Caenorhabditis elegans: one gene and its partner. The protein of the gene in region 2 interacts with the protein of the main gene of each other region in a pairwise test. Each region holds a gene or a part of one and is shown on either strand. Other genes may lie near its edges.

Region 1 (4,238 bases), on a different chromosome or scaffold from region 2:
ATTTTATTACAGTACTCTTTAAAGGAGCACACCTTGTCGAATTTAGCAGGAAACAAAAATTTGTCGTGTCGAGACCGGGTACCGTGTTTTTGGCGTAAATGTCGTCAAATAAGAATGAGCGCGAGTTCAAAGTTAACATTTTTTGGAAACAGGCTAAACAATTATTCGAAAATTTGAAAAAATTGAATCATCAAACAACAAGTTTTATTTTGTTTTGAAAATGTTTGATCTATGATCGGCTATGCCTTTGACCATATATTAATACCAAATACAAAAAAAAAAGATGAAACTCGGTCAGAGAACAGAATTATCACAGGAAATGAGATTTCCTGATTGGGAGTCTATACCTTGAATGTACATGTTCGCAATTTTATTACCTATTTTTTGGAATGGGAACTGGTTTTTTCTCGAAACCTTTGACCAAAGGAAACATCTAGAAAAATGAAATCAGCACATTTTTTGAGAGCAATTTAGAAAAGAAAAGACAATAAAATGAAACAAATTTCAATGTTTTTTTCTCGACTCTATTGTTAATATACTCTGAAGCGTAACAAAGGTGTGAATAGTGGATCTCCTATTGATCGGCAGGAATGACACGGAAGATGAGACGGACAGCCGGGAGAAAAAAGATATTACGGAAGATTTTGAGACGCAGATTGATGGGAATTGGACTTGTGACTTCTTGTTTTCCGGAGATTCTTTACTATATCATAATTTTATTGACAGATATCCTTCACTGGTGGGCTGAAAATATAATAGAGTCCCCAGAAATACGGCACCGGGTCTCGTCGCGAAACACCATCATTAAATAGAAAAGTGAGTGTGCCTTTAGAGATTACTGTAATTTCTTTTTATTGATTTACGAAAAAATAATTTTCCACTAATTTTTCGATGAAGAACTTTTTATTTTTCGAAAAGTTTACAAAAAAAACTTTAATACATCCACTGAAACAAAAATTTGAAGTTACAGTACTCTTTAAAGGCACACACCTTTTTGTGTGCGAAAATTTGACGAGACCTGCTACCGTATTCTTTGGGAAAAATCATGAAATTTATCTGGCCAGATCTGGACAATTATAATTAAAAAAATATATTTTCAGGAAAATCTGATTGAATATTGGAAATCGTTGTTTATTCTCAGAGATTATTATTTGCAAAATCTGCATTTATATGTCTAAATAACACTAGCTAGTGCACTAGGCTAAAAATTGAAAGATTCATTATTTCAAAATTTGCAAAATTTTACCTCCACCGAGGTCTGAGTTGAGTAAAAACATTTTGTTCACATTTTCGCGATTGAATTGATTATTTAAAAAATTAAGCACTAATAAAATATATTTTTAACGTCGAATATTAAAATTTTTCCAAGAACTTTGTTCTCCAGAATTGTTCATCTCGAAATCTGCAGCATCTCTGGTGCCAGCAAGTGCGCTCCAATGCGAACATTTCATTTAAATTTTTTTTTTTTCGTTCTTTTTTTAACAGATTTTATCAATTTTTTGCGATTTTCATTATTTTTTCAAGTAAAAAACATATTTAATGTTATTTCTTATATTTCACAATATTAATTCAACTATTAAAAAACAATTGCATCGATTTCTGGGTGGGTTATCATGCGAAACCGATAAAAACCGTTATTATTATTATTATAATGACTCATAAGTTTCTCCAAGGAATTCGAATTCTGCTTTCACATTCCTTTCCGACCGTTCACTTTCTTCCTATATTTACTCTCCTCGTTTTCCTCTGTATTTCTCCAACTTTTCGCCTTATTATCTGCGTCTCTCTCCGCTTTTGATTTCTGTATGTATTTGCGATGCAAATCGATCGTATGCGGGTTTTTCCTTTTTTAACACAGCTTTCTCCTCTTAAAATTCACTCAAAAATCATGATTTTCATTTCAGCAGTTTCACAATGAACGAAGAGGGTGGATATCTTGGAGCGATGACATATCAATGCCTGTACAGTCCTGTGATGGAAAAAATTAAGTGGGTTTCAAGAAATATCAGTTTTTAAACATAATAATTTAAAAAATATATTTTAGACAGCAACATCGTGATGATCCAAGAGCTTCTCTCGCCCTAAACGTAAGCTATTCTATATAAGAATATTTTCTATGAATTTTATACTGTTAAACGAAAAAAAATAAATTAACAAAGAATTATTCAGAAACTGCACACTGCACTGACCACTTGTGAACAAGCTTCTCCGTCGTTTCTCTATGATTTCACAAAAGTTTTGCTGGATGACTCGGAATTGAGCGTTAATCTGCAGGAATCCTATCTGAGAATGCATGACACCTCGCCGACAAATGATTTGATTGTCAGTGGATATGAGCAGAATGCTGATTATAAAGAGCTCACGAAACGGTAATCAAATTAGATAATTTTTTTCAAAATTCCTGGCGTACGAAAAAAATTACAGAGCAATCGAGCTTCGTCGTGTTCTGTCCCGGGTTCCCGAAGAAATGTCGGATCGTCACGCCTTCCTGGAGACCATCAAGCTCATCGCATCATCAATCAAGAAACTTCTTGAGGCAATAAACGCCGTCTACAGAATTGTTCCACTCACTGCGCAGCCGGCCGTTGAGAAACGTAAACGGGAATTTGTGCACTACTCGAAAAGATTCAGTAACACTTTGAAGACGTATTTTAAAGATCAGAATGCAAATCAGGTTCGTGGGAAAAAATGTGCTTTTTTACTTAAATGCGTCGAAATTTGTCCTTGACTCCGAATATCTATGTGAAAAATTCAAAAGCCCCGGTTTTTCTGGGAAAAAATTCGCACTGAAATATAAAATCAGGGAGATTTTTTTTTAATTTTTTCACATCGATATTCGGCAAATTTGGACTTTTTTTTAAAATAAAAACCTGTAAATTTTCCCCAAATCTTGGGAAAATCAAACTAAATTCTTGAATAATATTAAAATCCATTTTTTTAAAACAAATTCTGAGCCTAAATTCAATGTTTGCAGGTATCCGTGTCCGCCAACCAACTGGTTTTCCAAACGACAATGATAGTCCGCACAATCAACGAAAAACTTCGCCGAGGATAAGCTCACCCATATGGCGGCTTATAACTGTGATCTACTAGACGGCTCTTTCCTTTTGCATGTGTTTTACTTTCATTTTTTGTTCACTTAATTTCTTGTTCTCATCCACACACTCATCACTTTATACATCGGATCTGCACACTTTCTTCTTTCTATGATTTTTCCTTTCCCAATTTTCTGTTTATTGACTGAAATTTTAGGAAAATGATTAACGTATTATGCTTTATATGGTTTTTCGGATTTTTTTCACTTCAAAAATATTGTAATAAGTAGCTCAATTATCATTCTTCCTTTCTTTTTCATGTGCCTTTCTTTGATTTTTCCTCGTTTTTTCACCCACTGATGTACTAGATTTTTTTCCATAAGTCGGTTTCTTCTCCAAATAACGTGATAAATTATTCAGAAATTTTTAATATTTTAATTGACTGTATTGCAATTCTTGTTGTCGAAAACTTATTATATATCTAATTAACTTCACTTTAAAAAATTTCAGACCAATTTTAAATTAATTTCAGAATTTAAAAAATGGATGACGAAGAGGATCTGTTCGGCTCGGATGCCGAAGATGACAAGGAGAAGGTGGTAAATCCGGAGGATAAGAAGCACGTGCTGAGACGAGATTTGAGATCAATGGTCTATGGCTTTGGAGATGATAAGGTTGGTAACAGGGCTGTGCAACTTTTTGAATCAAAATTTATTTGCATTTCTATAACAAATTAAAAAGAAATTAAATGAGCGGTTTTTCTAAGATTCCGATTGATAATTTCCTGAATTGTTTATAAATAAATGTTTCAGGAGCCATACGACAAGACCCTGGACACTCTTGAGGCCATTGTCCTAAACTACATCAAAGAGTTATGCCAACTGGCGATGAAAGTTGGAAAACCGGATAAAATGGCACTTGAGGACATTCACTATCTGATTCGTCGTGATCCGAAGAAGTTCTCGAGAGTCAAGGATCTGTTGTCAATGTCGGAAGAGTTGAAGAAGGCAAGAAAGCAGTTCGAAGATATGAAACCACAATTGTAAATTTGTATTGATCTCGGTTATTTGAATTTTATATTATTGAAACCCCCATCATGAATGTTTTTCTTTGAACGTATAGTATTTACAGAAATCCAAGTAAAACGACAGAAGACAACTTTTCAGGCAATTTTAAATGCGTACTTGTCAGGAAAAATAAAAA
Region 2 (5,025 bases):
TTCCTGTTGAATATCTTCAATTTCATCTTCTGCTTGTTCAAGATCAATGATTTTTATGGCAACAACTCGTCCAGTTCGATTGTCAATACCCTTATAAACCTCGCCGAAAGAGCCGCGACCAATGCGCTCTTGCTTTGTGAATATCACCTCAGGATCCAGTTTCTGAAAAAAAAATAATTGTTTTTTTTTTCAAAATTTGTAGAATGTATTGAAATAATAAATAATGATTTTGTGCTGTTAGAAAAACCAGTTACAAAAAAAACGATATGCGAGACGTGATTCATATTTATGACTGTCCCATGTACACAAACCCAAATGTGACTCAAATAGTATTAAAATATCGACAGACATACTGAAAACTATACGAGGATGTAAAATAAAATGCATTTTTAAAGTGTGGTGATCATTTAATATTTTCTTCGATAAAGAAAAAAGATTATCGAGACCATTATTAAAACTAATTTTTTGCGGAGAAAAAGAGAAAGGGCTGCACAGCCAATAACATTTTTCAATTATAATTCAAATTATTATGCTTATGAAGCAAGTTAAAAGATGAAGCAAAAAAACTTACAGAATTAGCAAACGTCATAGTGAAAGCTGAATTGTATAGTAAAATTCTTTCTCCAAAATAAAAACAGTTTTTTTCAAACAGAACGGTGTTAGAGACACGGAAATCGATAGAAAATGAGCGTGGTATGTAGATTGCAGAGTATGACTAGTTGCTGATTAGACACACGACACTCCTCTTATGCTCCTAACTATATTTGCGCCTAATGATGAATCAAACACTTAACTTGCCCGCCCTCTTTTCACTTTCTACTCTTTATGCGTTTCTACAGGTGATTAAAATGAACACAGAGAGGAGATTCAATATATATTAAGAAAATTTTTAATTTTCGATTAAATTTCAGCTATACGAACGATTTAAAATCACTTTAAGCGCTAAGCAATGCTCACAAGACGTATAAGCACATTTCTGAATATAATACACGCCTTGGGACTACAAACATAACTAGACCTCCGTCCGATTCTTGCGCCTTCTCTCACCACCAAACTGTACTCTTCCGTACAATTTCTTCTCTATTTCTGCTTCTCACCATCTCTCGATATTTCCCGTCCATCGGGGGGCCGCTGTCACACCGGCAACAGCAGCACACCGTGTTGTTCAAACATTCCGAAACTGTGGTGGTCTGTGCGGGAAGGAAAGAAGCGGGATAGGCTAGGAAACCCAAGTGTAGCGATTTTGGAGCATCAATACTCGATTTGTTCATGTGGAATCAGACATATGTATGAGATTAAATAAGGGTGGGGCTGGAAAACGTGTCCATTCCAAGAAAAAATATCGAACCGGAGCATAAAGAGTCATGAAACGTCTAGATAATATTTTGTGGCGATTGCAGTTGACAATAAAACGACAAACGTCATGAAATAAATAATTTCACAAGTAATACAAAGTCTTTGCAATTGTGTATTCAAACGTGGAGAAAGAACGTGTGAACGGTATTAGAGTGCTAATTACCGCTGCCTGATCAAAAACCGTCCGATTTTGCAAATCGCGTACGTTCCGAGCAGTTGAAAAAACGGCCGAGAAACTGGGAGAATAAAGGAGGAGGATACTAAACGTTTTGAGCAAACAGACTGCATTCCAACGTAGTAACGATTTTGAAAGAAGAATGATTACTTCGCACATTTAAACCATCTTCATCTGTTATGGGATTAGATTCATAAATTTCTTGGAAAGTGACACAAATCGAAGAGAATGGGAGATGCTGAGCGAAGTTTTGGATTAGAAGCCCCCACTCCAGAAGGATAAAATGCATCGAAAATGAGGAGAAAAGCGACAGATTAGTGTATGGCAGACGGCCGTACAGTCCTCGTCAACCGAACGAGAGAGGACGTTTTGCTTCGGTTGGCTACCCTCCCACCATCACGCAGTACGCGTCCGCCGGATACAAATTCATTGGAACGACGTACGGAAGAGAACGTAGACGTACTTCAGGAAGGAAGCGCCAGAATGAGGACACCATTGAGAAATGAATAAGAATCCCGTAAAACATTTCTGTTTCAATGTGATTGGCATTACAAATTGAATTTGAATGCATGTGGTGGCGTATCAGTTCAGAAATGGAACACTCAATTATTCGACACAATTTCACTCTCTAATTGCCTGAATTCGAATCGGAATCAAAACTAGTATTTGACTATGACGGAAAGAGTACTAAAAAACACACACTACACACAATTGCACTTTTGTGCCGAGCAAATATCTACTGTAACCCTCAACAAACAGATTTTTTAAAGGTTTTCGGTTGAAAATTCATAAGCTTACCTCAATTTCGGACCCAAAATTTGTGAAATCCATTGAAAATTCACTCGAGGTCGAGTATTTTGTCAATAAAAGGGGAAGGAATGATAAAAACTGAGCTAATACGGAAAAGAAAATAAATCATCAGCTCAGAGTTCAAATGTGTACGCAAACACCACATCTTACGACAACTTGCAGAGACAGTGGTAAATATTTATTTTTAGTGAAATTGCTTCCAGTTTTCGCAAATTTCCAATGAAATTTAGCTAGTAAAGACATCAGAAAGAGGAATTTGTACAACTAGGTTTATCTTTTATGCTTATAAAATGATTTATGTATCTGGTCAACCATCCAAGGTCTACATTTTTTGTTAAAAATGGGAAAATTATTCGAAAACGGTCATAAATATAAAACACTTTGATATGAGAGTCACATTGTTTTTCGAAAATAATAATGCACTGCTTTCAATTCCGACTCACGCTGTTATCTTCAATTGGTTTAACCACCTTCCGCCGTTCAGCTGGTTTTGGAGGTGACACTTCAGGTGACATGACATTCAGATCAACTGATAAACTCGATGGTAGTACAACTTCTGGTGTTTGCTGTGGATGCTCTGTTGAGTTGTAAATTCCTTGTATGGTTTTTCCGAAATTCGAAGGTTTGAAACCAGTCTCGAATCTATTCAACGTGGCACTATCGATAGAATCATCCATTTTGGAATCATTCATAATTCCATATGTCACATGCTCGCGTGGAGGTGTGATTTGTGGAAAATATGAATTTTGTTCCACAGGATACACAATGTTAGTGTTGACAAACAACGGTGAATCATAGGAATTCTGTTTTTGTAAAAATGGTGGTGCCGGTTCATCTTTCAAAACTTCTCTGAATGGCTCAGATTCTCGATATGGTGGAGCAGAAACAGGGGCTCGTTTCTCAAATCTTTGTATCGCAGATTGAACATTAGTTGTTCTCAAAATTGTGTCAGTGAAACGATGATCGTCCATACCTGAATTAATGAAAATTGTACAAGCTCCGATTTTTCAGAAGCGAAAATGCAAATCAAAAGGAAATCGAAGAGAAAGGACAGAAGGCGCCAAAAAAATAAAACGATAGGTGAAACGAGCGAATCGATAAGGAGGCAGAATTATGCCATAAAAATTCCTGATGCGTGATGCATTTCGATAACACGAGTAAAGAGAGTTTCGTCTGTGGAAATAAGAAGGGAAATGACAGCTCGACAAACACAAGTGTGATCGTTCAGAGCAAAACCGAACAGATTTAATTGATCCAGCGTTTTTTAACTCTTGTAAAAAATCTTTAACTCTTAAAATATATATTTTTTTAAATAAATCCGACCTGATTTCGAATGTCTTGTGAAACATTAGGTATTTTTGGACGCAATCATTAGAATTATACGTTTTACAAAATTTTATAAGATAAATTGAAAAAAAAAATTATTTTTAGAAAACAACAGAGATGCTGGTCAACTTTGCCGCCATGTTTGAAGAAGTTGAGAAAATCGAGAAATCGAAAAAGCAGTGAAAACCCTAGACCGAATTCTCAGACCGTGCACACTTGAAAGAAGTCGCGAAATGGGTGAAATTCGATACAAAGTCAGTTCAGCTTTTTGTGCTCAAAGAGGTCATTTTTCGGAGTGAAAGACACGTAAGGAAGAAAATGACAGAACGAGGAAAATAGTACAATTTCGGATTATTCATATTTGTTGTGTCAGTCGGCCGGCCCGCAAAAGTTTTTATAATCTCAACGGTCAATAGTGTTTTACAATTACTTTGGACATTGCAGGAGGTATTCTCCAACCTTACCTGAATATAAATTCGATCCCATTTCATTGAATCGTCGTCCGCCTGTCGAGGAAGTTCGTCTGATGATGTCGTTGTCATTGATTGTGATGACTAAAACATTTTAATGTGAAATGATTTGAAAAATAATAGAAATAGTCCACGTTGGAAGAATACGAAACAATTTTTGTTGGTAAAACAAGAGAAAACGAAGAAACTCATTCACGCGTGATCACGTACATGATGCGCGGATAGTGAACACATTTAGAACTACAGTAACCGAGTCTGACCGTTTTGAACGCTTACCGTATCACCTCTATTAATTTTGCATCCTGCTACATCATTCTGAAAGGCTTATTTTGAATCAATAAATAATTAACTACAAACGATAGGAACAGCGAATGAAAAATATGTTGTATGTTAAACTTATATAAAAGCTGACAAAGTAGAATACTAATAAATAGAGGAATACGGTAGAGACACTTCACTATTCAATTTCCTGAAATCCCTGAAATACTTCTTACAACAGAATACAAACAGTTTACTGTGACATAGCAGTAGAAAAACATTTGTGACGTCACAAAGTACTGCAAGATGTTTCCACTATAACTGAAGATCAGACAGTCAGATAACCCTCTGGATACATCCCGGAATGCCTCTAATAGTCTTGCACACATTAATTTACTTTGACACCTTTTATCTCGGATGATTTTTGAGATACCAAAGAAAGAATTTTAAAAACTATAGTATGAGAAATATAAATGTTTTTGGCAATTATCAATTTTTGATGAACTTAAATGTATGTATTCGAGATATGAGCCGACGCAGTTGAGCGTGCTAGACTATTAGAAATACGGCGGTAGTTGAACATTTTAAATAACTCATTTTGGTATTTAGAGCTCAAAAAAAGTAGCATTC

Evidence for each region.
Region 1: the proteins of gck-1 (region 2) and ccm-3 interact in a two-hybrid assay, tested with the Caenorhabditis elegans proteins (2 studies listed by BioGRID).

Annotation. Positions count from the first base shown.
Region 1 is NC_003280.10:10,604,942-10,609,179, reverse strand, and holds ccm-3 (Programmed cell death protein 10 homolog), read left to right. Parts: upstream 1-1,904; 5' UTR 1,905-1,914; coding exon 1,915-1,988; intron 1,989-2,044; coding exon 2,045-2,087; intron 2,088-2,169; coding exon 2,170-2,369; intron 2,370-2,424; coding exon 2,425-2,674; intron 2,675-2,974; coding exon 2,975-3,055; 3' UTR 3,056-3,463; downstream 3,464-4,238. Other genes in the region: taf-13 (Transcription initiation factor TFIID subunit 13), read left to right, coding at 3,578-3,709, 3,848-4,081. UniProt on the Caenorhabditis elegans protein: Involved in excretory canal elongation during postembryonic development. Plays a role in promoting Golgi stability, ER integrity and vesicle transport probably by regulating the activation of Rho GTPase cdc-42. Involved in fertility.
Region 2 is NC_003283.11:8,946,995-8,952,019, reverse strand, and holds the start of gck-1 (Germinal center kinase 1), read right to left. Parts: upstream 3,317-5,025; 5' UTR 3,313-3,316; coding exon 2,785-3,312; intron 2,536-2,784; exon of another isoform or gene 2,363-2,535; coding exon of another isoform or gene 2,330-2,362; intron 2,037-2,329; exon of another isoform or gene 1,775-2,036; intron 1,283-1,774; exon of another isoform or gene 590-1,282; coding exon of another isoform or gene 572-589; intron 163-571; coding exon 1-162. UniProt on the Caenorhabditis elegans protein: Serine/threonine-protein kinase which is required for normal oogenesis and suppression of germline cell apoptosis. Inhibits phosphorylation and thus probably activation of mpk-1 during pachytene stage.